3 linked regions of the Alligator mississippiensis genome follow. The protein of the gene in region 2 binds, or shares a complex with, the protein of the main gene of each other region. Links are inferred from orthologs where the notes say so. Each region holds a gene or a part of one and is shown on either strand. Other genes may lie near its edges.

Region 1 (8,097 bases), on a different chromosome or scaffold from region 2:
GGAGTTCAGGTAAGTGGTGGTCCTTAAGCAATCTCTGGCTCTAGCCAGGGCCAAGAGAGATGGAGGATGCTGAGATAAATATTTTCAAATCAGCAGGCCCCAAAAGCATGCACTTGAGAGTCTTAAAAGTGTTGACTGAGGAGATGTCCAACAAACTGCTGTTAGTTTGTTACAGATGGTTGAATACTGGGGAAATTCCAGAAGACTGGAAGAATGCTTAGATGTTGTAGAGTAGGAGTTGGAGTTGAGTTTATCCCTGCATGCATACATCCACCTACAGAGATGCAGAAAAGAGCCCTTAAAATTATTTAGTGAATGAAGAAAATGTTTTGCAGTGAGAAACAGAAAAGCTAAGCCTGTTAACTTCTCAAAAAGAAAACTGATGTGACTTAATCACAATGCATAGACACTTTCTTGGGGAGAAGATAACGGATACTAACAGGATCTTTATGAACCATAATCAAGGCACATCTTGAATCATTGTATAAAATAAACTGGTTGAGTTCCTTTAGTCTGTCTCATTGCAAAACATTTTTTCAGCCCTTTAATCATTTTTCTAGCTTTCCCCTACATCCAGCCCAGTTTCTCAACATCTTTTTTTAGAATCCAGAAGTGTTGGGTGGTTAATAGATTCTTAATTCTTCCAAACTTTTAATAAAAGGCTTTACATTAGTATTTTAAAAATTCCTTTCTAACCACACCCTAGGAGTGCTCCCTTATCATCTGGCATCATGAACCTGGGCAAAGTTGTCATTTTCATAATTATTATTGTTCCTGTTTATTTGTATCACTATTGTGCCTAGGACTAGAACCCCATTGTGTTAAGTGCTTTATAAACATGGAACAAAAAGATGGTTCCTATCCCCCAAAAGCATGAATTTTCTTATTATTTTTATGTTGTTTATATATATATATATATATATATATATATATATATATACACACACACACACACACATACATACATATATATACATATATATGTATATACACATACATATATATACACATATATTATACTTTTTTTTCCCCTCCTTTTTGTCACCTGCGCTAAAGTGCCTTTCCTCTATCCAGCATTTTTTACTCTGCAGAGCTAAGAAAATGGACCTTTGCTTTGCAGAATTTGCCCTTCCCTGTGTTAGGTTTATCCTGCCCGGACCTGGAGCTGGAGCTGGGAATAAACATTCTCTCAAGGTGTGCGTGTGTGTAGGCAGGTCCCTCCTGATGTACAATACAATATGTTGGTCAGTTATGGAGCACATATTCTGTAATCACTGGTGTGAAGGCTGTGAAAATGTCAGTGAGCCCTGTCTGCTAACTCACCCCTAGCTCAGTTGCTCCATTTCTTTCACTATCCCCCCAAGAGTTACTCTCTCAACCACACTAAAGATTCCACAGTAATTTTGAGCCTGCAAACACATCTGTAGGTTTACACCTACAGGAGAAATGTAGACGCTGCTGGGATGAAGAGCAGCAGCCAATTATCATCCAGCACCCTCATGTTTTGTGATGTCACTTGGGCTGAAAGACAGCAAAGTAAAACCCAGAGTAAGAGAGAAACTCTAAAAACCATCAAACAAAAAGCTTAAAAAAACCCAACCTGAGACTGAATGAATGCACCTAGTGCCATGCCCTGGGACCCATTAGAGCTGCACTCGGGAAAAGTGTTGAAGGAACCACATTTGGGAGGGCAGGTGTTCAGCTAGGAATGTCCTGCCACCACCTCCAGAATTCAGCCCTGGGTAGGGTTACCATACTTCCAGTTCCAAAAAAGAGGACACCAGCCAGGGAGGATACCTCACTCCCAACCCACAGCCCCATGACCCTGCCAGTGCCCCTCACCCCCAACCTGCAGCCCCCCGTCCCTGCTGCTGCCCCTCACTCCTGACCCACAGACCCCTGGCCCTGCCGGTGCCCCTCACTCCTGACCTGCAGCCCCCCTAACTCCCTCCAGCAGGGCTGGAGGGGGTCTCCAGCTGCCCCCATTCGAACTGGGTCAAAACGCAGCAGCTACAGTGGCTCTGGCTCGTGCGGGCAGCAGTGGAGCGAGTCTGCTCCTAGCACAGGCTGAAGGTAGGATGAGATGATACCTGTAACACCCCCTGCCCCAGGCTGGGGCTTCTGCACTGCGCCAGGTGGGCTATCTATGCATCCTGGCCCCCGGGCAGTGTTTCCCAGGTGCCCTGCTCCTGCAAGCATGGGTACCTGCCCTGGTGCCACTAGCCCATCCGTGCAGCTCCCTGCTGCCCCCAAAGGACCCCCCACCCCTTCCCCTGTTGAAGGGTCAGGTGTCTCCCTCCTGCCCCTGTGCCCTGCCGCACCCTTTGCACCCCCCCACAGTCATGAAGCCTTGGCTCTCCAACCCCTGTCCTCACAGCCTTGCCTACATCAGCTGCTGAGGCTGCTCCCACCCCCTGCCTGGCTGCGTGCCAGCCACAGATGCACCTGGTGACCCTGCCTCCAGTCACCAGTGGAGCGGAGCGGAGAGGAGCAAAATCCCAGATATTCAATTACATTTAGAAAAACTGCCTGGACAGAGATCGGAGGACCCAAAAAGAGGACATGTATGGGAAAACCCAGACATATGGTAACCCTAGTCCTGGGGAACAACAGAGCTAAATTCCACAGCTGCATTGCACAGATACAGTGCGTAAGAAGCAGTCTCTGACATAATCAGATGCCAAGTCATCCAGTGATGCAATACTCACTGGGTAGAGGGAGATAAGGGGCTGTGTTAGACACAGGAAAGAGGCAGCTTATCCACTAACTGGTGCATCTCTCCCTGGCTGTCGGGCCAAGGGGAAGGGCAGCTCCTGATTCTCTACCCTTAGCTTTTGGGGCCCCCTGCTGGATAGTCTCATCAGCTGCAGCCTCGGCAGGAGGCTGTGCTTGGAAAGTTGCTGCCCTGAGATTGTAAGCACACAGATCAGTGGTTCTCATCCTTCTTGGACCCGGGGTGCCCACCTCTGGTCTGCAGGCCAAATGCAGCCTGCAGAGCCAATGCACCTGGCCTGTGGAGCTCCCCACGGATCAGAAAATTTGGTGGTGGGGGAGCGGTGGCCATCCTCTCCCCCTGCCATATTCCCAAACACCAAGCCCATGTGCCCAGTCACAGCCACGCCAGGTCACCTTGCCCCTGAGGGGGAACAAGGCCATGCTCCTTTCCCCTTCAGCCCTGTGAAGTCCCTTCCCCGCTGCCTGGCTGGGACCAGGCCAGGCTGTTGCCCAACCTCCTCCACGTGGCCAGAGGTGGCTACTGCATTGACCCTGGACTCTGGATCAGAAGCCTTATCTGGCCCGTAGTCGGACCAGGTGCTGCCGATTGGGCCCACCGGGGAAAAAGGTTGAGCACTGCTGAAGGCACCCCTCATTAGGCTCAAGACAACCAGAAAGTGGCAGCTCTTGGCATTCACTTCTTTCTTTGGGATTGGAAAAGAGGGAGCAGACACATTCTTGCAGGAAAGGGGCATCAGGAGTTATCGAGCTCGGGAGAGAGGGGCACGGCCTCAGAATCAGCACTTCCTAAACCTTAAATGCTGGAGGCTGTAAGTGAGAGAGGAACAGGGGAGAAAACCCTGGTCAGGCCCAGGTCCCGCTCCCTTCCACTGTCTGCTGTCTGCCCCCGTGTGACACAGGGCACTGGGCCAGCCGGCCCTGGGGCCTGACCCAGTCCCTGATGTTTATCATCATGACGACAAAGCAACAGAGCGATTCTGCTGCTGCAGAGACCGGGATTCTGCTGCCTGAGCGTGCTGCTGATGCCCAGGATTCCCATGGGAATCATGTCTAAGCACCTGCAGCCCCTAAATGTGCTAACAGCGGGCTCAGCTCGCGGCACCCTTCAAAGGATCTCTGGGCACCACCTGGGCACCATGGCTCCTGGATGAGACTTGCTGGCACGGAGCAAGCAGCCAGGCTCATGGGGTGGGGGTGTTGCCAACCTGGGAGCACTGGGATGGGCCCACAGATGTGCTCACAGATGCCTCCTCAATCAAGAATATAACGAGTGAAGAGACCGGACAAACAGAAGGACGATTTGGGTGGAGGCAGAGGGAGAGCACTGAGGGGTCTTTTATGAAACTCTGACATTCTCAAGGGAATGGTGGTGGGTGCACGGGCAAACTTTGTAATGGGACAAAAATAATGTAACTGTTGAAAGTAGGGTGCCAACTCTGTTTGAATCTATCCCGGGAGGTTTAATCACATGATGTAATGACATTAATGACGGATCTACTGACTGTACTCAGGAAGGTAAATGCACATGACTATTACATTTTAAAAACACACTGGACTACTGTATAAATCGGATGCGACATTTCATAATTGATTTTAATGAATGCCCTATCATGCATCTCCTGGGTGACTCTTGGCAGTCTCCTGGAGCTTGTATCTCATTCCTGGGGACTCCAGGGCAATCCTGGGGGGGTCGGCAACCCTAGTTAAAAGTGTGTTTTTGGTCTCTCAAGTGAACCACAGCAGTCGCATGACAGCTTGTCAGAGGCAGTTGTCTATGTTTAGTTATATAAAGTGTTTTTTATATATATATATATATATATATATATATATATATATATATATATACACACACACACACACACACACACACACACACATATATATAGTTATATATATATTTGTATAGTTTAAATAGTTTTATATATATGTAGTTATATACAGCTTATTTATATATATAGTTATATATATACAGAGATATATAGATATATATATATGTTTAGCTGTTTATATTTATTAGAAATAAACATTTGGGCAAAAACTCAAAAGCCCCTACTGCCACTGAGCGCCCACTGCGCAGGCGTCCCGGGGGCGGGGCCAAGCACTCACAGGCGGGCTCTGCGGCCAATCAGCGTCCGGGGGGGTGCAGCGGGAAGCCGCCGTCTCCACAACAACCTCAGGGCGGCAACTTCCGCCTCCGTAATCATGGCGGACACGCGGCCCGGCCTCGGACGTGACGCATTGATCTGCTCATAGGCGGGAAGCGGCTGAGCCTGGCCCCACCCCGCCCCGCCCCGCCCCGCCCCTATGGTCTGCGCGCGGCGCCTTGTGGGACGGCGGCGGAGTTATGGTGGTGGCCTAGGCGCCAGGCAGCGCAGCCGGGAGTGGCGCGGCGCCCGGGGAGGCGCGGGGCTAATACGGTGCGTTGTGGGCGGGGGGAGCGAGGCCTGCTCGGGCAGGGGAGGGGTTGCTGGGTCCTCGCAGCGCCTCCCGCCGGCAGAAGGGGGGGGGAGGAGCCGAGAGCAGGCCCCCGCCGCGCCGGGCCCCGGCGGAGCTGGAAGCACCGGGGGCGGCGCGGTGTTGGGGCAAAGGGGCATCCGCAGCCTCCCGCCCGGCCTCCGGGTCACGTCCTGCAACGCTGGAGGCTGCGAGCGGAGAGGAGCCATTGAAACAACCCCCCCGGTGACACCAGCTGCTGGGCAGCCTGGACCGAGGGCCTGGTCCAGCAAATGGCAAATTTGTGTGTTCTTATGTGACTCCTCGGTGGTGTCACACTTCAGCCTGACCCGCTTGAAAATCTCCCTCCCTTTCAGTATAACGAAATGGTTGCCGGCCGGGTTGTGACAGGCCGTGTTGCAGCCCAGGTGTGTGAACGCCTCGCGTTAGGAAGCGTTCTCGACGCGGTGATTCCTAGATAGCGCACCCGCGGGTACGTGTCTCTCACCACAGTTAGTAGTAACGGCCATATTTTGCATTGGATTCCCAAGTAGCTGAGATGACAACAGCTGCCAGGCCAACGTTTGAACCTGCGAGGGGTGGGCGAGGAAAAGGCGAAGGAGACTTAAGCCAGCTCTCCAAGCAGTACTCCAGCAGAGATCTTCCTTCTCACACTAAAATCAAATACAGGTAAGCGCTGGTTTGTTTCTCCTGAAATATTTTGCGCAGCGATTCTTCGTTAAACCTAGTTTGAGACGCGAGTAATTATTGAAAAACAAGTACTATAATTATTAGCCCTCTGCGTGGAAAGGGGATTACTGCTGAACTAGAAAAAGAACTGCAAGCTTTAGCCTAAGGGGCAGATACAGAAGATAAAATGGATTTGAAATTATTAGAGTGTTTTATTATTGAATGTACTGTTAACTTGCGGTTTCTGGGTACCATGATGGAAGCAGGTATTCAGAAGTGGTCTGGGTACACAGAGGGTGAACTGGATAAGAAAGATATCCTGCCCCCAGAGGTTGTTTTGGGAAAGGATATAGGGACATGTTAGACAGGAAGACGTAACTGTATGCATATCATAACTGGTAACATTTACAGAACAAATAAGGTGATGAGACATGCTAAAAATGGTTTTTGAGGTTGGATGGGGTCTTAAAAAAAAAAAAAAAGGACAGATAGTTTTGAATGAACATATTGATTAAAAAATAACCTGTGGAGAGACTGGCAGGTGGAGGAGGATAATAGACTCGCATTGGGCAAGGTAGATCACTTGGCAGTTTTGCCCGTTCACTTCCAGTATCTTCAGTGATGTTTTCCTTTACTTTTATTACCAACCACATTCTGAAAGTGTTTGTTCTTTAGGTCAGAGGTGTCAAATATATGGCCTGTGGGCCAGATCTGTCCCATGCAGCCCTATCATTCAGTCTGCGGTGCTGCCTGTAGGTCTTGGATCATCCCCATGTGCTGCATGTGGGATGCGGGGCTGGTCGGGATCAGGGAAGTAGACTAGTTCCCCACACAACATGGGGCTGGCATGCTTACTGCATGCAGTATGTGGGGCTGGTCCAGGAAGCATGCCAATTCTAGCATGCAGGGGGCAGTCTGTATACCTGATTTCAGCCTGTAGACTGGCCCTGTGCCTCTCATTTGATCTGCTGGGCTGGATGAGTTTGATGCTCCTTCTTTAAGTTTATGATGGCTTTTTAGTAGAAGGAATGTTGTTGTGATTTTTCATTTACAGAGGGCAGTGTAGGCAAAAATGCATACGAGTATATAATATATAACTTATTGTTCTTTTGGATGGTTTTTTTTTGGTATCTTCTGCTATTCTTCCTGAACACTGATCTAATAGGTTGGCTTTGTTAAATATATAGCCAGAACTTCATCACACAAATTTAAAAGTGGTCACTTTAGTCCGTCACCTCTTTTTGAATGACACGGTAACATTTTGGATTCTTGTGATGGTAACATCAATTGTGGGCACTCCAGTTCCTTGTTCTTATTTATACAGTAGGAAAATTGAACAATATGTTAATACTTATGGTATATTTTATAACTGCTGAAGTCTAGGATTCCTTTAGGTATTGTAAGCACTTATTTCTAGAAGTGAGTTCATAGAGGGGTGGAGTTCATTCCTGTTCATTTCACTTGTTTTACATTCTTTTAATATTGGCACCTAAAATTGAACAGTCCTTGGAAACCTTATATTAATGTGGGTTAATATAAATCAACTTTGCTGACAGAGACTTCTTAAGTATGCATGAATGGAAATATTGTATATAAAAATTTATTGATGTGCTTTTTCCTACTTAGACAATTAGGGTTGGAAGGGACCTTAGGGGAGGTCAAGACTGTTCTCAGTGGTGGCAGATAACAGAACAAGGAACAACGGGCTCATGTTGCAGAAAGAAAAGTTTAGGTTGGATATTAAGAAAAACTGTCTCACTAAGAGGGTAGTAAAGCACTGGAACGGGCTACCCAGAGAAGTTGTGGAATCTGCATCCTTAGAGGTTTTCAAGACACCGGTAGACAAATCCTTGGTTGGGATGATCTAGTTGGGGACAGTCCTGTTTTGATCAGGGAGGTGGACTAGACCTCCTAAGGTCCCTTCCAGCCCTAATTTTCTAAGTAGGAAAAAGCACATCAATAAGTGTTTATATACAATATTTCCACTCATGCATATTTAAGAAGTCTCTGGTACCATCACAAAAATTAGGGTTGGAAGGGTCCTTAGGAGGTCATCTAGTCCAACTCCCTGTTCAAAGCAGGACTGTCCCCAACTAGATCATCCCAACCAAGGCTATGTCTACCGGTGTCTTGAAAACCTCTAAGGATGTAGATTTTACAACTTCTCTGGGTAGCCTGTTCCAGTGCTTTACTACCCTCCTAGTGAGAGAGTTTTTCCTAATATCCAACCTTAACTTC
Region 2 (7,805 bases):
GTGGGGGAAGGAAAGAGAGGTGCGGGGGGGGCAGATCAAAGCTCCCCACGGTAAGGGATGGAGTGGGACGGGGCAGAGGCAGGTGCTGCCCAGCCAGGGCAGTGAATGTGACCCTGCAGGCATCTTGGCCAGGGAGTATAGGGAGGGGGACGGCTCCCCACCGCTGCGCACACCCACAGGAGAAACATGGGGGGCATGTGTGCCCCGGATTTGTGCACGGGGCATAGTATTTACCAGTAACTTTACTGGTAATGCACCTCTCGTATTTACCAGTAACTTTACTAAGCGTTGCTAGGGCAGTGTGTCGTGCTGATGTCTGCACTTCAAGAATGATTTTAACAACATGAGAAGAGTTCAAAGAAAAGTCATGAGAAAGCTGAAAACATGCCTAATAGAGCCACAAGATCAATCTGTGCGGCATAAAGAAAGTGTGAGAACAAGATGACTAAGGAGCAACCTGTGTAGAGAACAGAAACATAACCAGAAAGTTACTGCCTTGGCAGTTACATTAATAGGATTCCAATACTACTAAAAGGCACAATGGCTGCACCTTCAATTTGCAGCAGCTTTCTCCTCAAGGCAACCCCCACACACCCCAACTTTCCTTCCCTCCAGTGGCAAACCTGGGTGGAAAGTGAAAGAGAAAAAAAATACAGGAGAGCTAAACCAGATGTGCACTTAAAAAACAAAGCCAAAAAACTATACAGTACTCACTCCATCTCATATACAGTGACAGGTAATGCCTGCTCCATCAGGGAGAATTTCTTGGTTTTCACAGGTTTAATTATTGGCTCTGAAACCAAAATAAAATTTTACAGTGAAAAAAAATGTTCTTAAAATGCTGATGTTTGGAGACATTAACCTAAGGCATTAACTGAGACAATACTAAGCATATTACTAGACCAAAAAAAGTGATATTTAAGGTTGATGACACCACTTTAACTGCTTTATTTGGGGAAGATTAAGACATAACTGAAACAGATTTTCATTTGCCTTCTTTTAAGATCTTTTCAGCCACAGTTAGTGTATGCTCTGCACATCTCACAACAGAACTCCTCTGGCGTTCGCAATGGTGCACTGATGCCTCTGGGCATCTTTAACAAAGTGGAAAGAGTCTTGGGAGTTTGGAGGTTGAAAAGGATTTTTATAAGGCAAATTAAAACTGGTAAGGAGCCAAATATTTGGCTCATTTGCAGGCTTAACTCAATTTCCATTATCACTTTTTTCCCTTTAAGCAGAGACTTGGTTCTTTTACTTTATGAATTAAATTCTTTTTTGTTAATACTCTCAGTAGAATTTCTATTAAAATGCCAAAGACAAAACAGACTGAATGTCTGAGAAGATGCAAGTAATACCACCACCAGCAGGATTTCAGAGCCTTTCTTCCTTCCATGATTGCCAACAAAAACCTTTCCTGATCAGAAATCTGATTTACTGACTATAATTACTTACCAGTGAGAGGCTGTGTATCCTCTTCCTGCACTATAGTCTCTACCTCAGGCCCATAGACCTCTTCTGCAGTGGGATAGTATTTCTTATCCTCATGCAGTACCACCTCCATTCCAGGGTGATCTTCATCATGGTCTCCCATATCGTCATCATCGTCATCATCATCAAGCTGAAACCGACAACAGAAATACTTTATCCACCCAACAATCTCAAAGAGCTTTTTAGATGTTAAGATCCACAAAACCCCTTCTAAGGTTTGTATTCTCAACCCCATTTTAGGATAGAAAAACGCTTGTGGTCACATATCAAATCATGAGCACAGGTGGAAGCCACACTGACTTACACCAAGATTGGGACCTGCACCGGGACTGAATATCTCTAGCACTGATCAGAAACAGGTCCAGACAGGAGTGCTGACAATCTCTCCCAATTTTTATTTAACAGCCATTTTCCCCACCTTGAATCCATTCCAGAGGCCACTGCCAAATGCAAATATTCACTGGATGTGGATGATTTAGGAGCATCATTCCTACATTCATGCAGGTGTGGTTGGACCAGATGGTCCCCTGAAGTCCTTCCCAACCCTGTGATTCTGTGCAACCACAAGATGTTGCCTTCTGTACATGTACATAGGCTACCAAAGTTTTGCCAAGCAAGCAGCAAGCCAGGCTACGCTCCACATCAAAGCACAATTGCAAAATACAGCACATGAAACTCTAACTGTATAAGATTTGTTCAGAAAACTGTTTGATCTGTTCAGGTCCCTCCTGACCCTAGCTACTATGAAACTATGAAGAATCTGCGTGGTAAACTGGTGACTATTTTTCATTTGCCTGTAAACAACTCTGAACAACCACACCATTAGGAACATTGTTCTGGGTCATCAGGTGCAGCCCCTTTCACCACACAACACATCCCAGTGACCATGCCTCTGCTCTGGGGTTATAAACACTACTTCTGTCTCTCCATTATATCAGGAGGCAAGGCCAATACACCCCTTTAGGAAGTAACTAAGACACACACACATGCATATAAAGAAAGAGTGAGTGCATGCAAGCTTTCATGGGCTGAAGCTCACTTCATAAGTGAAGCAAGTGTCAGCTCGTGAAAACTCGCTCGCTCTCTCTCCGCCCTTCTCTCCCTCTCCCCCACTATCCATCTGACCTAGTGCAGCGGTTCTCAACCTTTTTTGCACCAGGACCCACTTGTAAACATCAGTGGCCAGTCCTGACCCCTCACGCCCGACCTGCTGCCTCCTGCCCCCACGCCCCAGCCCCCACTGTGTGGGGCAGGGGGGCCCAAGCAACCCCTTGCAGGTTGGACCTCTGCCTGCAAAAGCCAGCTCTCAAGAGCGGAGAAGACGGGAGAGAGTCTAGAGGGCCCCGTCTCCCGGCGGCCCCCCGCCCCCCGCGGGGAGGGGCCGCACCTCGTCCACGTCCTTGGCCTCCCGGCCCAGCTCGTCGTCGTCGTCGTCCGAGTCGAGCTCGGGCCCGATGTAGTTGCCGAACTCGTCGTACAAGTCCGTGTCCATGGCGCCAAGGGGCGAAAACGAGGCCTGTCTCCGCCTCCCCTCCCGAAAGCGGCCCCGACACGCACCCGGCTCCGCTACCGCGCGCCTGCCCTCCCGCGCGCCGGCCGCCGTGCGACGCTCGCGTCGAAGGACCCCCCCCCCACCGCGTGGGGGGTGGCCAAGCTGCCCGCCTGAGGGGCTGGTCACTTCAGTGCCCCTCCACCAGGCAACCGCTGTGGGGAGAGCTCGGGGGCTGGGTGGGGAGCGGCCGGCCTGAGTTTTGGGGGGAGGAGTGTCTGGGTTCCGAGCAGGCGCTGGGTGGGGCAGCCCCGGCTGGAAGGGGCCTCGGCGGCGCGTCCCGCTGTTGCTATGGAGACGGTCGGTGAGACGGGGAACCAGTGTCGGGGCAGCCCCGGGGCCGGGATCGGGCCCGGCGGGGAGCGCTCTGGGGTCCGAAGTGCGGCGTGACAGGGGAGACTGGACAAGATGGACTGGTGGTCTGACCCAGTCAAGGGCAGTTCTTGTGTTCTTCTGAGACTTGTCTCAGCTGAGATGGAACGCAGGTGCCCTGGAAAGTTGGGCCCAACTTCAAAGTCATCATTTCAGATTGGGGTTTGCATGAACTCACTGTATAATTAATAGAGGTGCACCGATAGATTTTTGGGGGCCGATACCAATGGCCGATTTTTAACGAGCCGTTTCAGCCGATACCGTTCCAATCGCTGATGTGCAGCCGGGCAGTGTGGAGAGCAGCCTCCCGCTGATAAGTCTGTTGTGGGGGGAGGGAAGGGCCGTGGAGGGTGCAGACTGAGGACCCCGCGCTGAGGGAGGGAGTGGGGCTGGGGGGCCCAGGACGGAGCCAGGAGTGGCTCATTTGGGAAGGTGTGGGGTGGGGGGTGCAGCTCCCACCGCTGCCCATACCCTTGGGGGGGCCATGCGGGGCGTGTGCCCCCGCATCTGCGTGCAGGGCTAGGGCAGGTTGGGCCAGGGCTGTGTTGAGCTCTTCCTGGCAGGGGGGCTGGGCTGGGCTGTGCTCAGGGTGGGCAGTGGTGGCACTGGGTGGGGCTAGGGGCGGGGCTTCAGCCACCCCAAAATTTGCCATAGCCCTCCCAACTTCCCCTCCCAGCACTGCCGCCATCCTCCCCAAGCACAGCCTGGTCCAGCCCCCCCACCTGGGAAGAGCCCAGTGTTGCCTTGGCCCCAGCCCCCAGCGGCAGCTTGCCCTCGGCCTGCGCGCAGATTCAGGGGCACCCCCCCCCCATGCCTCCCCTGGGGGTGCGCACAACAGCAAGAATCACCCCCTTTCCCTGTGCGCGGCCAGTCCTGCACCCCGGCTTTGCTGGGCAGCACCTGCCTCTGCCCCAGCCCCACTCCCTCCCTCACCATGGGGGCCTCAATCTGCCCCCCCCTATAGACTTACCGGCCAGACCCGTCTACTCTTCATGCTGCCAGGCTGCACTCCTGGCTGCCTGCATGCTGTGCTGCAGCTTCGCGAATGTATGGGGCATTTATTGGCCACACCAGCCAAAAAAAGCCGATACACTCAATTTGCCTTATATTGGTGCTGATCCAATATGGGACCAATGTATTGGTACACCTTTAATAATTAGATACGTGCAGCAAGTCTAACAAGAGTTCAAGTAATATACAGGATGTGAAAGAGCAAGGAATATTCCCCTTGCATGGTGCTCATGCACCCCAAGTAATTCTGGCTTGTGGGCAGATAGAGGTCATTAGTCATGTTAGTCTGAAGTCAGGCAGCAGGCAGGGTAGAATTGCACCTTGTAGATAAGCGGTGTCAAACTCACCTGGCACTTTAGGCCAGATTTAGACCCCAAGGTCTCTTGGGCTGGATCTGCAAAGCCAACGGTGTGTAGGGCAGGGGATGAGGTAACTTGGTTTGGGGGCTGGTGACAGCATGGGTCCAGGGATGAGCACGAGGCAAACGAGGGCTGTATGCACACCACGCCTCCTAGCTATGCTGTCAACTTCTGGTAGCCTGCTGGACTACCAGCAAGCCAGATGGAACAGTTTGATGGGCTGGATCCAGCCTGCAGGCCAGACGTTATAAAGTAACTAAATCAGAGATGCAGTTATACACTATATTAAAATAGTGTGTAAAAGGGACTTACCACTTATAACTGCTTCATCTTGTTTATTCTCATCCCAGCATAAACAGAATTAAACTGAATGAAACAGGTGTAAAGTTACACTGATACAGAGAGGACAGATGAAATAGTTAAGTTGGTTCAGCATGAGTCACAGTAAACTGGTATAATTGTTTGGTCTGTGCATGCCATTAATTATGTTTTGCTCTCAGGTTATCATCATGGACAAATCTGGAGCAATAGATTTCTGTGCTTTGGAGAGAGAACTACAGGCTGCTGTTGCTGCTGATGAAAAGTACTGGAGAGAAAATGATGCCAAATTTCGAGCTGTTCACCAGAAGGTGGCATCCTATGAAGAATTTAGGTTTGCAGGCAACTTGTTTCATGTGGCGAGTCTGGAGTTGGGAATACAACAATCCAGTGTTTCTTTCATCAGGATGAAAGTTTGTATTTCTGAGTGTCATGTAGTGACACTGTCTGCTCAGAAGTTGTATTGTCATATCCTCCCACCTGTGTGAGGAGGACTGAATCTGTGAGAGTGTCTGAAGCAATAAGGAGTATGTGTGACCAGGTCCATGTCTTTCACCCACAACTCAATGGCAACACAGTTTCTTGTGATAGGAGCTCTTTGTCTAGGCCAACTTGCTGGGTAAGGGACGTGTAACTCCAAAAGCTCTATCCTGCAGCTTCTCAGAAAAGTCATGAGATATTCCTCTCTGTGGGGAAATTACTCAGACCCTAGGAATCTGAATCAAAACAAGATGTGTTAAAAACAAAGAAGAATGGAATTAAAAAGAAAGGAAAGGTTTATTTAGCACCCATACTATAACATTTCTCATAAAGGGGACTGGCCTTCGCAGCACAGATCTTACACACATTGCCAGCATAAGTGGCAAACCCCTCTAAAGTGGATGTGGTTATACTAGTATAAAAAAAGCTTGTATTAGTTTGATTTGGGAACTAGTACAGGCTATATATTGATGTAAGACACCTATATTTTCATTTAACTGCATCTGCTAGAAAACTGAGAGAACAAAAACCATACCCTTAACCAACATCATTTGGCTGGAAAAACTTTTATTTCTAGACTGGGGTGCTCAACCTCTGGCCCACAGGCCAATAGTGGCCCATGGAGCCAACTCATTTGGCCCATGGGGCTCCCCACAGGTCCAGAAATGTGATGGTGGGGGAGCAGTGAACATTAATACAGTCATTCTCCCTGCTGCCAAAACCCCAAGCCCTGTGCAGCTGTTTAGAGCACCCCATTTCCTTTCACCCTGTTTTTGGATTATTGGAGCTGGGGCACCCCTTCCAACCCCTTGGGGCCAGGCCACCACCACCCCAGAGTTGGGTTGGGGCCTGGCCACAATCCCTTCCCCTGCAGGGCCCAGTCAACTTCCTTTCCCTGCAGGATTGCGTTGGTGTTGATGTGGAGGGTATTTGCTCTTACAGGATTTTGCTTATAGGGATATTGTGCAGGCATCACACCTGAAGCCCCTGGAAAAAAAGGATAAATTTGGAAAAAAGAAAAACCTACTGTGGAATTCCTGTGCAACCCAAGCTAAGTGCCAGCAGAACAGCGAGGTGGAAATAGCCCAGGTGAGGAAAAAAAACAGTCTATAAACTTACTAGGGAGGACCAGCGTGGTTTGGGAGAGACCTTGTTCCGCCGAGCGCCTCCCAGAGTAACAAGGAATAACGGCCATAAGTTGCTAGAGAGTAGGTTTAGACTAGACATTAGAAGGCGCTACTTCACAGTCAGGGAAGCTAGGATCTGGAACCAACTTCCAAGGGAAGTGGTGATGGCTCCTACCCTGGGGTCTTTAAGAGGAGGCTCAGCATTTACCTGGCTGGGGTCATTTGAGCCCAGTTTTCTCTCCTGCCCAGTGTAGGGGGTCGGACTAGAAGATCTACAAGGTCCCTTCCGACCCTACATCTATGAATCCTCCATCACTATTGGTTTGTTGACATCTGAAAGTTATTGCAGAACAAGATAGCGTGTGAAATTCAAAACAGACCAGAGGCCATTCAGTAGAGAAAGCAGTGGATGTTAGGTTGCAGAGAATGAGGATTCGAAAAAGCAGGCCTCCCCCAACCTGAGGAAAGACCACTCAGAAGAAATAGCAGTTCCATATGTGAACAAGCCCTAAACAAATCCCAAATATTGAAATCTCTTGAGTAGATCAGATCTCCATTTAGTCCTACATCCTGTCTCTGCCACTGTTCCCTTATTGCCAGGGTGAAAACTAGCCTTTTACTCCTGAACTTTGTTTGCTGTCTCTTCATTGGCTTCTGAGCCATAGCACTATTTTACCTTTCTTCCTGTGACTTCAGTTACCACAGGTGACCTGTTTTGTGTGACCACCATCCATTCTTTCCTTGGAATGAAATCTCAGCCCCATTGAAGTCAATGGGAGTTTTGCCAGTTTACTTAGGATCCCATACCCCCTTACACACACATACATTCAGACAGTCATCAGTGTGTACAGACTAATGAGAGGGATTTCAGAAGTAGAAAGGAAAGGAAACAGGAGAAGCCTGGTGCTCACTTATTGCTGTTGGTCTTTTCTTTCCAGGGGTTGGACCGATTACCTGAAACCTCTTCAGAATTCTACAGAGATTGGCGCAGATGCTTAAAAAGTGGGCAAGAAAAATACCAGTTCCTACTGCAGCTCGGAGGCACAGGCCTGGGCAAAATCTTTCAAGCGGATCTCGGCTTTGGCCTCCTGGGCGAGTTCC
Region 3 (7,899 bases), on a different chromosome or scaffold from region 2:
TACAGTCTAATATTGACAAAGACTTCCCTTGTTCTGAATCACTTGCATTCTAAAAAGACAAGCTTGTTACACACAGGATAATAAAAATAGATAGTTTTCCTTCTAAATCTCTCTCTCAATTAGAATGATCAGAGAATTATCTTGTAAAATTATCATAGCAATTCTAAGATTAAATTTCATATCATAAGACAATATTCAAAATATACAAGCAAAGGCAAACTAACCTTGATTTGCAGAATATTGTTTATGTCCATAAGGATCCACCACACCCTGGGAACCCTTCTCTCTCAAATTTTCCTTCAGCGTAGGCATGTGCAACACAGAACCATACTCTGTGTGAAGCTTAACTGACATCTTTACCTTGTGACTAGTTGAGAGAACAAAATTTATTAATACTTGATCTTCTGAACAACCGCAAATTTTAAAATGCTTTGGAAATCATTTAGAATCATGTCAGTTCTACTGCTTTCCTTTCACCACCTCTAGATAGTAGTTCTGCTTGAACATACACAATCTGACTTGGATAAAAGAAAGCAATTACTTGTATACACTAACATTTTAAGACACAGCAACAGGCTAGTGACAGCTATACTTACCTTTCTTCATCCAACGATACAGGTTTTGCATTATCAGCCACAAACATATCATGGGTCCTCTTCAAGGATCTGAACACAAGAGTGTGCACAGAATGTTTCTGTACATCCTACAAGAAGCCATAACAAAAATTTAAAGAAGAATCAAAAACAGCAATATAAATTAAATAAGGTAGTAATTTTTCTCCTTAGTAATTAAAAAAACAAACCAAAACAGACACTACTGAATTTGTAGAAGAGTACACTGCCATCCTTAGGAGCTGGGAGCTACAGATTTGGCCTGATAAATTGTTTCATTGCCCCCTCACTTAAAATAACACTCCTTCCTTGGGATAGTCTCATGATAAAGAAGAGCAGGCCAAAACTTTGACCAACTGTGTTTCCAATTCCAACCACTGAGGTAAATACAAACTGAAGATAAAAGCTTGTCCTTCACACTTACTGGTTCTTTGTTTATACATAGACAATAAAACAAATGGTTCAGGCGCATCAGTGGTGCAGGCCTACTCATTTGATTGCAACCACAGAGCAAACAAATGGCAAAGAAAGATCATTTAAGAACTACCACACAGATGATGGCACATGTGTGCATGCCTCTTAGCAAGAAACAGCATGTTCTTGTGGATTCCAAAACCTGCAGGCCTTGGTTTATCGATGTAATTGCTTTGCTTTTTCTTGAAGTACAAAAGCACCATTCAAGAACTAACAAAATTAACAATACCAAAGTAAAATTAGGGTTGGAAAGGACCTCAGTAGGTCATCCAGTCCAACTAGGAGTGCACTGATAAAGATTTTCTGGGCCAATACCAATGGCCGATTATTAACCAGACATATCAGCCAATACCAATTCAGTAGCCAATTTAAAGGAATGCCGCTGGGCAGGGCGGGCAGCAGCAGCACTGGGAGGAGCGACTACAGGGAATTTTTGGGGTGGCTGTAGCCCACCCCTCCCAGGACTGCTGTCCATCTCACCCCCTCCCATCCTGAGTGCAGCCCAGGCCCCCTACCAGGAAGAGGACAGCCCCTGACCCTGCAGCAGGCAGCCTGCCCTAGCCCCACGCACAAATCCGAAGGTGTGTGTAGTAGTCCCTGAAAGAGCTGCCCACATTTACCGCCCTGGCTGGGCAGTGTCCCCTGCCCTTGCTCCACTCTTTCCCTCACTGTGGGGACCTCAATCTGGCCCCCACCACACTACATCCCTTTACCCTTCCTCCTATGCCTTCTTCCCCAAAGACTTAGTAGCCAGATGCTGCTCTCCAAGCTGCCAGGCTGCACTCCTGGCCACGTGCATGCTGTGTCTGTGTGCATGCATATGGCATTTATCGGTAACATTATCAGCTACACTGGCCAAAAAAAGGCCAATTGCTGATAATGTTAATTTTCCTTGTATTAGTGCTGATCTGATATGTGATCAGCATATCAGTACACCTCTATATCTAACCCCCTGCTCAAAGCAGGACCATTCCCAATGAGATCATCCCACTCAAGGCTTTGTCTAGCCAGATTTTTTAAAACCCCAAAGGATGGAGCTTCCACCAGCTCTCTGGATAACCTGTCGCAGTGCTTTACTACCCTCCTAGTGAGAAAGTTTTTCCAAATATCTAAGCTTCTTAATATCTTCCCTTGCCACAGCTGAAGACCACATCTGATACCCAAAGTTACATTTCTCCCAGGCTACTAGAGGGATCTTGGGGGACACTGACCAGATACTGAGTTTACCTCCCACCAGGGAGGGAAACACCCCTTGCCCAACACCATCTTAGGGGTCCTCCTCTGCTCAGCAAAGTTCTTTGAGTAGATGTGACATTTTTTATTGGACCAACTGAGATAAATATATACAATAAAAGTTTATATAATATAACAAGAGATATCACATGCATTCAAAAAGCCTTTGCCTGCCTCAAAGCAACACAGATGCAACCAAAAACCCAACTCCTATGCTAGCGCATTTGCCAAACACACTATATGGGAAGTGCTGGTAGCTGTAAACGACCGCAGATCAGTCCCTTGTCTTGGTGACAGGTGCAATGCCAACATGACGTGCAACAAGGCCACCTGGCCCAGTCCCCTGAGTGCAGTGACCTTGCAACCTATCTTCCTTGTGCTTTACTGGCCGGGAAGGTAGGCATTTACAATTCATTTATAGCGCGGACATAAGCGTCCGAACTCTTCAGAGTCAATGCATCCTCCCCGCCCCCCAGGCCCGTGGCCGGGCAGAGGCTGCAGGAGGCCGGGGCTCAGGCTCCAGCTCCAGCCCTGTGCATGGCCCCTCAAGCCCCCCCCACGCCGGGACACCGGCCCGAGCCCCAGCCCGCCCCGAGGACTGACGGGGAATGCGCGCGGGACCAGGCGCTCACCTCCACCATGGCGCCTCCTCGACAGCAGCCGCCGAACCGCTATTAAAGCACTTCCGGCCCCTGTCGGAAGTGACGATACCACGACCCGCTCGCGAGAGCCGGCGACATTAGGCCGCGCTGGAAAGGGAGGGAGGAGGAGAGTGGGGGGGGAGAGGCGGAGCGCAACATCGCCCAATAGGGGGAAGGGGCGGGGCGTGAGGGGAGGGGGTGGGGCGTGAGGGGAGGGGGTGGGTCGCGCCCTGGCTGACGGCTGGCCTTGACTCTGGGCGGCCCAGTGGACCGAGGGTTCGAGCCCCGGCTGCCCGAGGGCCACCCTCGGCCGCTGCAGCCCTATAGCCAATTTTGTGAGAAGTATGAGGCTTGAGATCTGTATAGAGGAGTTTCATAGATTACCTTCAAACTTCTTGAAACTGAACTAATGTCTCCTGTGGCAGGGGTGGGGTAGGAATCTGTAGCGTATACAATTTTGGCAGTGACACATTACTGTATTAAAACATCAGGTTCATAGTGAACAGTATAGATAAAGTTGCAACTTGGTAGCAGGGTATTATTGTATTGTAACAATAGCCTGGTAATCAGTCTTATAAAATTTAAATATAGCTTCCATTAAAACTCACTTCTCATCACATTTTTAAATATCTCTTTTTGTCATTAAATTATCTATTCTATCCATACTAGATGTTGCAAATGTATATGAATTAGCTTTGTTCTAACAAAGTTACAGGCATATGTAATTTGAATCCAAATCATAAGTGGCAGGCCATCTTAAATTGAAAGAAAATCTGAAATCACATTTATGACATTTGATAGGTTTCAAGATAGGTTGAGAGGCTGCTTTAATTAAATATGAGATCAGAGCTGACCCACCTTTCATTTTTCAGTGTAATAGGCAGAATATCTCTGGATTTTCCCCCACTTTCTTTTACTCCAAAATAGCTTACTCAAATTTGCTAAAACTTTAATCTCTCCCCCCACACACACCCCCACACCCACATACACTTTGAAATTAAATTCTGAAAATTTCACCCAAAAGAGAAATCTTGAATAAAGTTGAAATCAACTGAAAAAAAGACTGGGGGGGGAGGGGGAGGGGGACAGCCAGCGGCACATGTGCCCTAAGTGGCATAGGCAGCCTCTGTCTGTGGCAGACAGCAAATCAGGGAGGCAGCAGGGAGCTGCAGATAGAGCAGAAAGCAGAGCAGCAACTCAGGCAGAGGAAGAACAACTGAAGGGGGAACTAGGAATGGATGTGGGTCTAATTTGTGATATGCCTGCCAAAAAAGGTTGACACTTACTGGTTTAGAATTTGTATATTTTGGCAACTTCATCTACAGCTGCTGACTTCTATATTTTTGTTTTAGCCAAACAAAAATGCCTTATTTCTACCATCCAATGTTGCCGATTTCTTGATGGTGAATATATTTAACTATATAACAGCTGTATAGAGCTGGTGAACGTAAGTATATATACTAATTACAATTACACATCTTGAACAGATGAGTGCAGTAGTTAGCTTTCAAAAAGATGCCCAGTATTTAACTCAGCCTTTATAACACTGGTTAGAGCCTGCTGAGCAAGTCTTTACTGCCAAAGTGAGCAAATATCTTTATAGGATTGCTCTGTGAGTTTGGACTTGATGTCTTGTGATTTAATCCAACTTCTTCTTTGTGCTGTGTAATGGAGGAGTATTTTGGAAGAGTCTAAATTTTTAATTGGAGCTCTGCTGTATTAAGATTTAAGTGTGAAATTAGCCGAAGTGAAGTGTAAAAAGAGAAATAATTCTAAAACTGTAAAATGTAACTTTAAAAGGAAAACTGTACTGTTATGTCAAATTAGGATAACTACATCAACTAACAAAGAGTAAATGCCTAAAGAAGCAAGGACCTATTTTTCAAAGAGCACATTTTCACTTACCTTTTAACATACAGTTACCAAGAGAATATATTTGTAGTTACAAGCATCTCTTTATGTATCAGCATTATTTATACATATACATCCACATTGCTTGCATTTGGTCTTTAATAAAGGCAGAGAGAGGGAATTGTTATCCTTTGTGTGTCTACATGGTAGTTTTCCGTTAAATAAATAGCCTTTTTGTCACTTATACACTTTACAATTCTGTTACCGATATAGTGTGGTAGATATGTAACTGTTGCACATACCCATTGGCCAATGCATAGGTATAAGTATAGGTTTCTAGGAAGTGGTTAGGTGGTAACTGTAACTAAGTGGTTAGGACATTTCCCAAGGAAGCATAGAGGGGGTGCTTCCCCCTTCTAGGCCACAGGATTTGAATCTTCTTTTTGACCACTGTAATGGGGTGTACCCCTCACGGGTGGTCATGGCTCCCTGGTGGCCCTCTGGCACCTATCTGCCTACCCTGGCATCCTAATCTGGCTCCTCTCTCCCTCCTGCCATGCCTTGATGCTATAAATTGATATGTTATTTAGAAGACTGCCTTTGGGTAACCAAAGTCTAGTCATGGGTACCTTACTTCCCCCTCCTCCTTCGCAACTACAGGTCTGACCAGGCAGCACAGAGGTCCACCCCTCTCTCCCTCACTCTCATTGTCAGCCACTATCATTGGCTGGGACCCTGCCCTGTTGGGCTCCAGCCTGCCTGTCTTTAGTCACTGCCCCTGGCCTGTCTGGGCCTCAACCCCACCCAGGTCTCCGGTCCACTAGTCCTCAACCCCCTCCATGGCCCCTTCCAGTCCACTGGGTGGTATTAGCAGTATGAGCAGAAATAACAAAAAGAAAAGTAGACCCCAATCAAGTTAACATAAAAGGTCTTTGGGCTGTACCCTCTCTCCCAGGCCTCTCCTGGCCAATGTAAATGGTCACCATTCCTCTAGGTTTGTTCATTCCCCAGGGCTCCTCCTGGGTTAACATAAACAGCTCTCAGTCTTCTGGGTGCCCACTTCCCCAGGATCCTTCCTGAGTTAACACCAAGAATCCCCCAGGGCTTTGCATGCACTCATTCATTCAGTCTTTCTTCCCTGATAGGGGCTCCTCCTTTCAGGCATCAGGTGCTCTTGCCAGGCTGGCATTCGTTCCTGGCTCTCTGGAACACTCCATCCTTCTCAGCCACAGGGATGGAACTGGACTGGACTGGACTAGACTGGACTGGACTGGGTCGGTCCTCCCCTCCCTCCCCCCCACCTTCCACTCTGGCGGGGAGTTTATATCCTAGTCATCTCTGCCACCTTTGTCAGCTGGCCAGGCTTCCTGTTCATCTGGCCCAGTGTGACTGCGACGGGCCGCCATCACGGGTACAGGCAGAGGATAGGCAGGACAGGGGGGCAACAACACCACCTCAAGAAAGCCACGGGCCGGGCTACTCACCCCCGGGAGGGATGGCAGCGTCAGAGCTGGGACCGCAGCAGCAGACGCGGCCGCCATTACGGCCGCGCGAGCCGGCACTACGCCGGCTTTTTAAACAGCTGTTCTCAACAAGGGGAGCAGCTGAGCCAATCGCGGCAGCCGCAGCGGCTGCCGCGGGAAGTTTGAAAGCCCCGACAAACCCCGTGGAAAGGGGGAAGCCAGAGGAGGAGAGAGGAGGCGTGCAGCACGTCACTGCCGCTGCGGCTTCCCCAAAGCCAGAGCCTCAGGCAGGCAACTGGGCATCAGTCCAGCAGCTGGGGCGAGAGCCAGAAGCCCCGGTCGGGGCAAGAGGAGTGACTCCCAGGGTTTGCTGGGAGCAGAGCAGCAACTCGGGAAGTTCTCCCATTCCCGAGGAGCAGTATTTTTGAGAGCAGGGGAGAGAAGAAAGGAAAGGACCCGAGCTAGCGGCCGGGTCAGGCGGAGGCGGAGCCAGGCTGCCTGAGGACGACCGTTGGCCTCGGGGAGGCCTGCCAGAAAGAAGTGCTGCAAGTAGCAGCGGATGACCATCTCATCAACAAGTGACCAGTTGGCGAGTGGACGGGGTGTAGGGGTGGCGGAGCCCCATGGAACATCTGAGGACCCAACCGTGAGTACCCCCCTTTACGTCAGGCAAGCCCCTCTGGCAGAAGATCTCCACTGAACCCCTCCTTCGAATCACTTAACATCCAAGTCATGGCAGGCGGGACGAGGGGGAGGGGCTACCATACCAAGGGCGGTACCGGACGTGAGGCCCACGGACGTCATACCCAGGTATAGCTAACCTCCCCTTCCCACTCAGTGCAGTGTTTTTCAGCCAGATGTTTGCAAGCTAGGCTCTGCAGAAGTGAGTCCATAGCCCAGTGTCAGTCATCTTGCTTCAGGAGGTTTCTGCTCTCACCTTCAACAAACAGCTTGCTCTCTCTTGCTCAGCTGGGTCTCTCTCCTGGTAGCTGGGACCTCTATTCTTCTGGCTACTCTGGAAGGGCTTTTCCTGCTGCAAGCTATCCCCCTCTCCTCCTTGGGCTACAAAAGTTCTGGCTTTAAATGGGCCTTGCTGATTTTTCCACCCTTGCCCTCTTTCCCCCAAAGCAGAGTTCCCTGTTACACCACCACACTACAGATTAGGCCACTGACTCACAACCAGAGTGTCACAGCATCTTGGGGTACCATGAGATCCTTTTAAGGGTGCCCTGCTATATAAGCACTGTTGCATGTGCCAACACCTAAATGATTCACAGGATAAATCTAGAGATTCCAAAAAGTAATCCATGGTGTCAAAAGCATTCTGATCTGTTGTGGCTGTTCTGAATTCTTTGCAACAGAAGAATTGCCGTATTATTTTTCTGTTATAAAAAGCAAGTCACAGGTGCCCTCTCCAGCACTCCTTTTGAAGCTGGGCAGCCAAAAGGGCTAAGAAAAAGAGGTTGAAACGGAGGGAGAGTGGCTCAATAAGAGGTGTGCTGCTTTGGAAGGCAGGAGGGCTAGTTTCTAACTTGGTCCTTTTCTTTCAAAAGGTGCAAGATCTTCTCCATTTATTTTATCCATGAATATTAAACACAAGGTGCTATGCCTCTGCTTCAAGCTGGA

The links. The genes of interacting proteins can lie anywhere in the genome.
Region 1: EFTUD2 (region 2) and CWC15 share a complex: the UniProt entries of both Homo sapiens proteins name them as parts of the minor spliceosome. The link is inferred for Alligator mississippiensis from reciprocal best matches to the Homo sapiens genes EFTUD2 and CWC15.
Region 3: EFTUD2 (region 2) and PLRG1 share a complex: the UniProt entries of both Homo sapiens proteins name them as parts of the minor spliceosome. The link is inferred for Alligator mississippiensis from reciprocal best matches to the Homo sapiens genes EFTUD2 and PLRG1.

The regions. Positions count from the first base shown.
Region 1 is NC_081824.1:447,192,885-447,200,981, forward strand, and holds the start of CWC15 (spliceosome-associated protein CWC15 homolog), read left to right. Parts: upstream 1-5,043; 5' UTR 5,044-5,153; intron 5,154-5,720; exon of another isoform or gene 5,721-5,723; 5' UTR 5,724-5,728; coding exon 5,729-5,859; intron 5,860-8,097. UniProt on the Homo sapiens protein: Involved in pre-mRNA splicing as component of the spliceosome. Component of the PRP19-CDC5L complex that forms an integral part of the spliceosome and is required for activating pre-mRNA splicing.
Region 2 is NC_081827.1:161,814,868-161,822,672, reverse strand, and holds the start of EFTUD2 (116 kDa U5 small nuclear ribonucleoprotein component), read right to left. Parts: upstream 3,091-7,805; 5' UTR 2,981-3,090; coding exon 2,876-2,980; intron 1,619-2,875; coding exon 1,453-1,618; intron 794-1,452; coding exon 715-793; intron 1-714. Other genes in the region: CCDC103 (coiled-coil domain-containing protein 103), read left to right, coding at 3,446-3,571, 5,280-5,431, 6,534-6,666, 7,643-7,805. UniProt on the Homo sapiens protein: Required for pre-mRNA splicing as component of the spliceosome, including pre-catalytic, catalytic and post-catalytic spliceosomal complexes. Component of the U5 snRNP and the U4/U6-U5 tri-snRNP complex, a building block of the spliceosome.
Region 3 is NC_081825.1:94,680,887-94,688,785, reverse strand, and holds the start of PLRG1 (pleiotropic regulator 1), read right to left. Parts: upstream 3,055-7,899; 5' UTR 2,960-3,054; coding exon 2,951-2,959; intron 704-2,950; coding exon 597-703; intron 368-596; coding exon 225-367; intron 1-224. UniProt on the Homo sapiens protein: Involved in pre-mRNA splicing as component of the spliceosome. Component of the PRP19-CDC5L complex that forms an integral part of the spliceosome and is required for activating pre-mRNA splicing.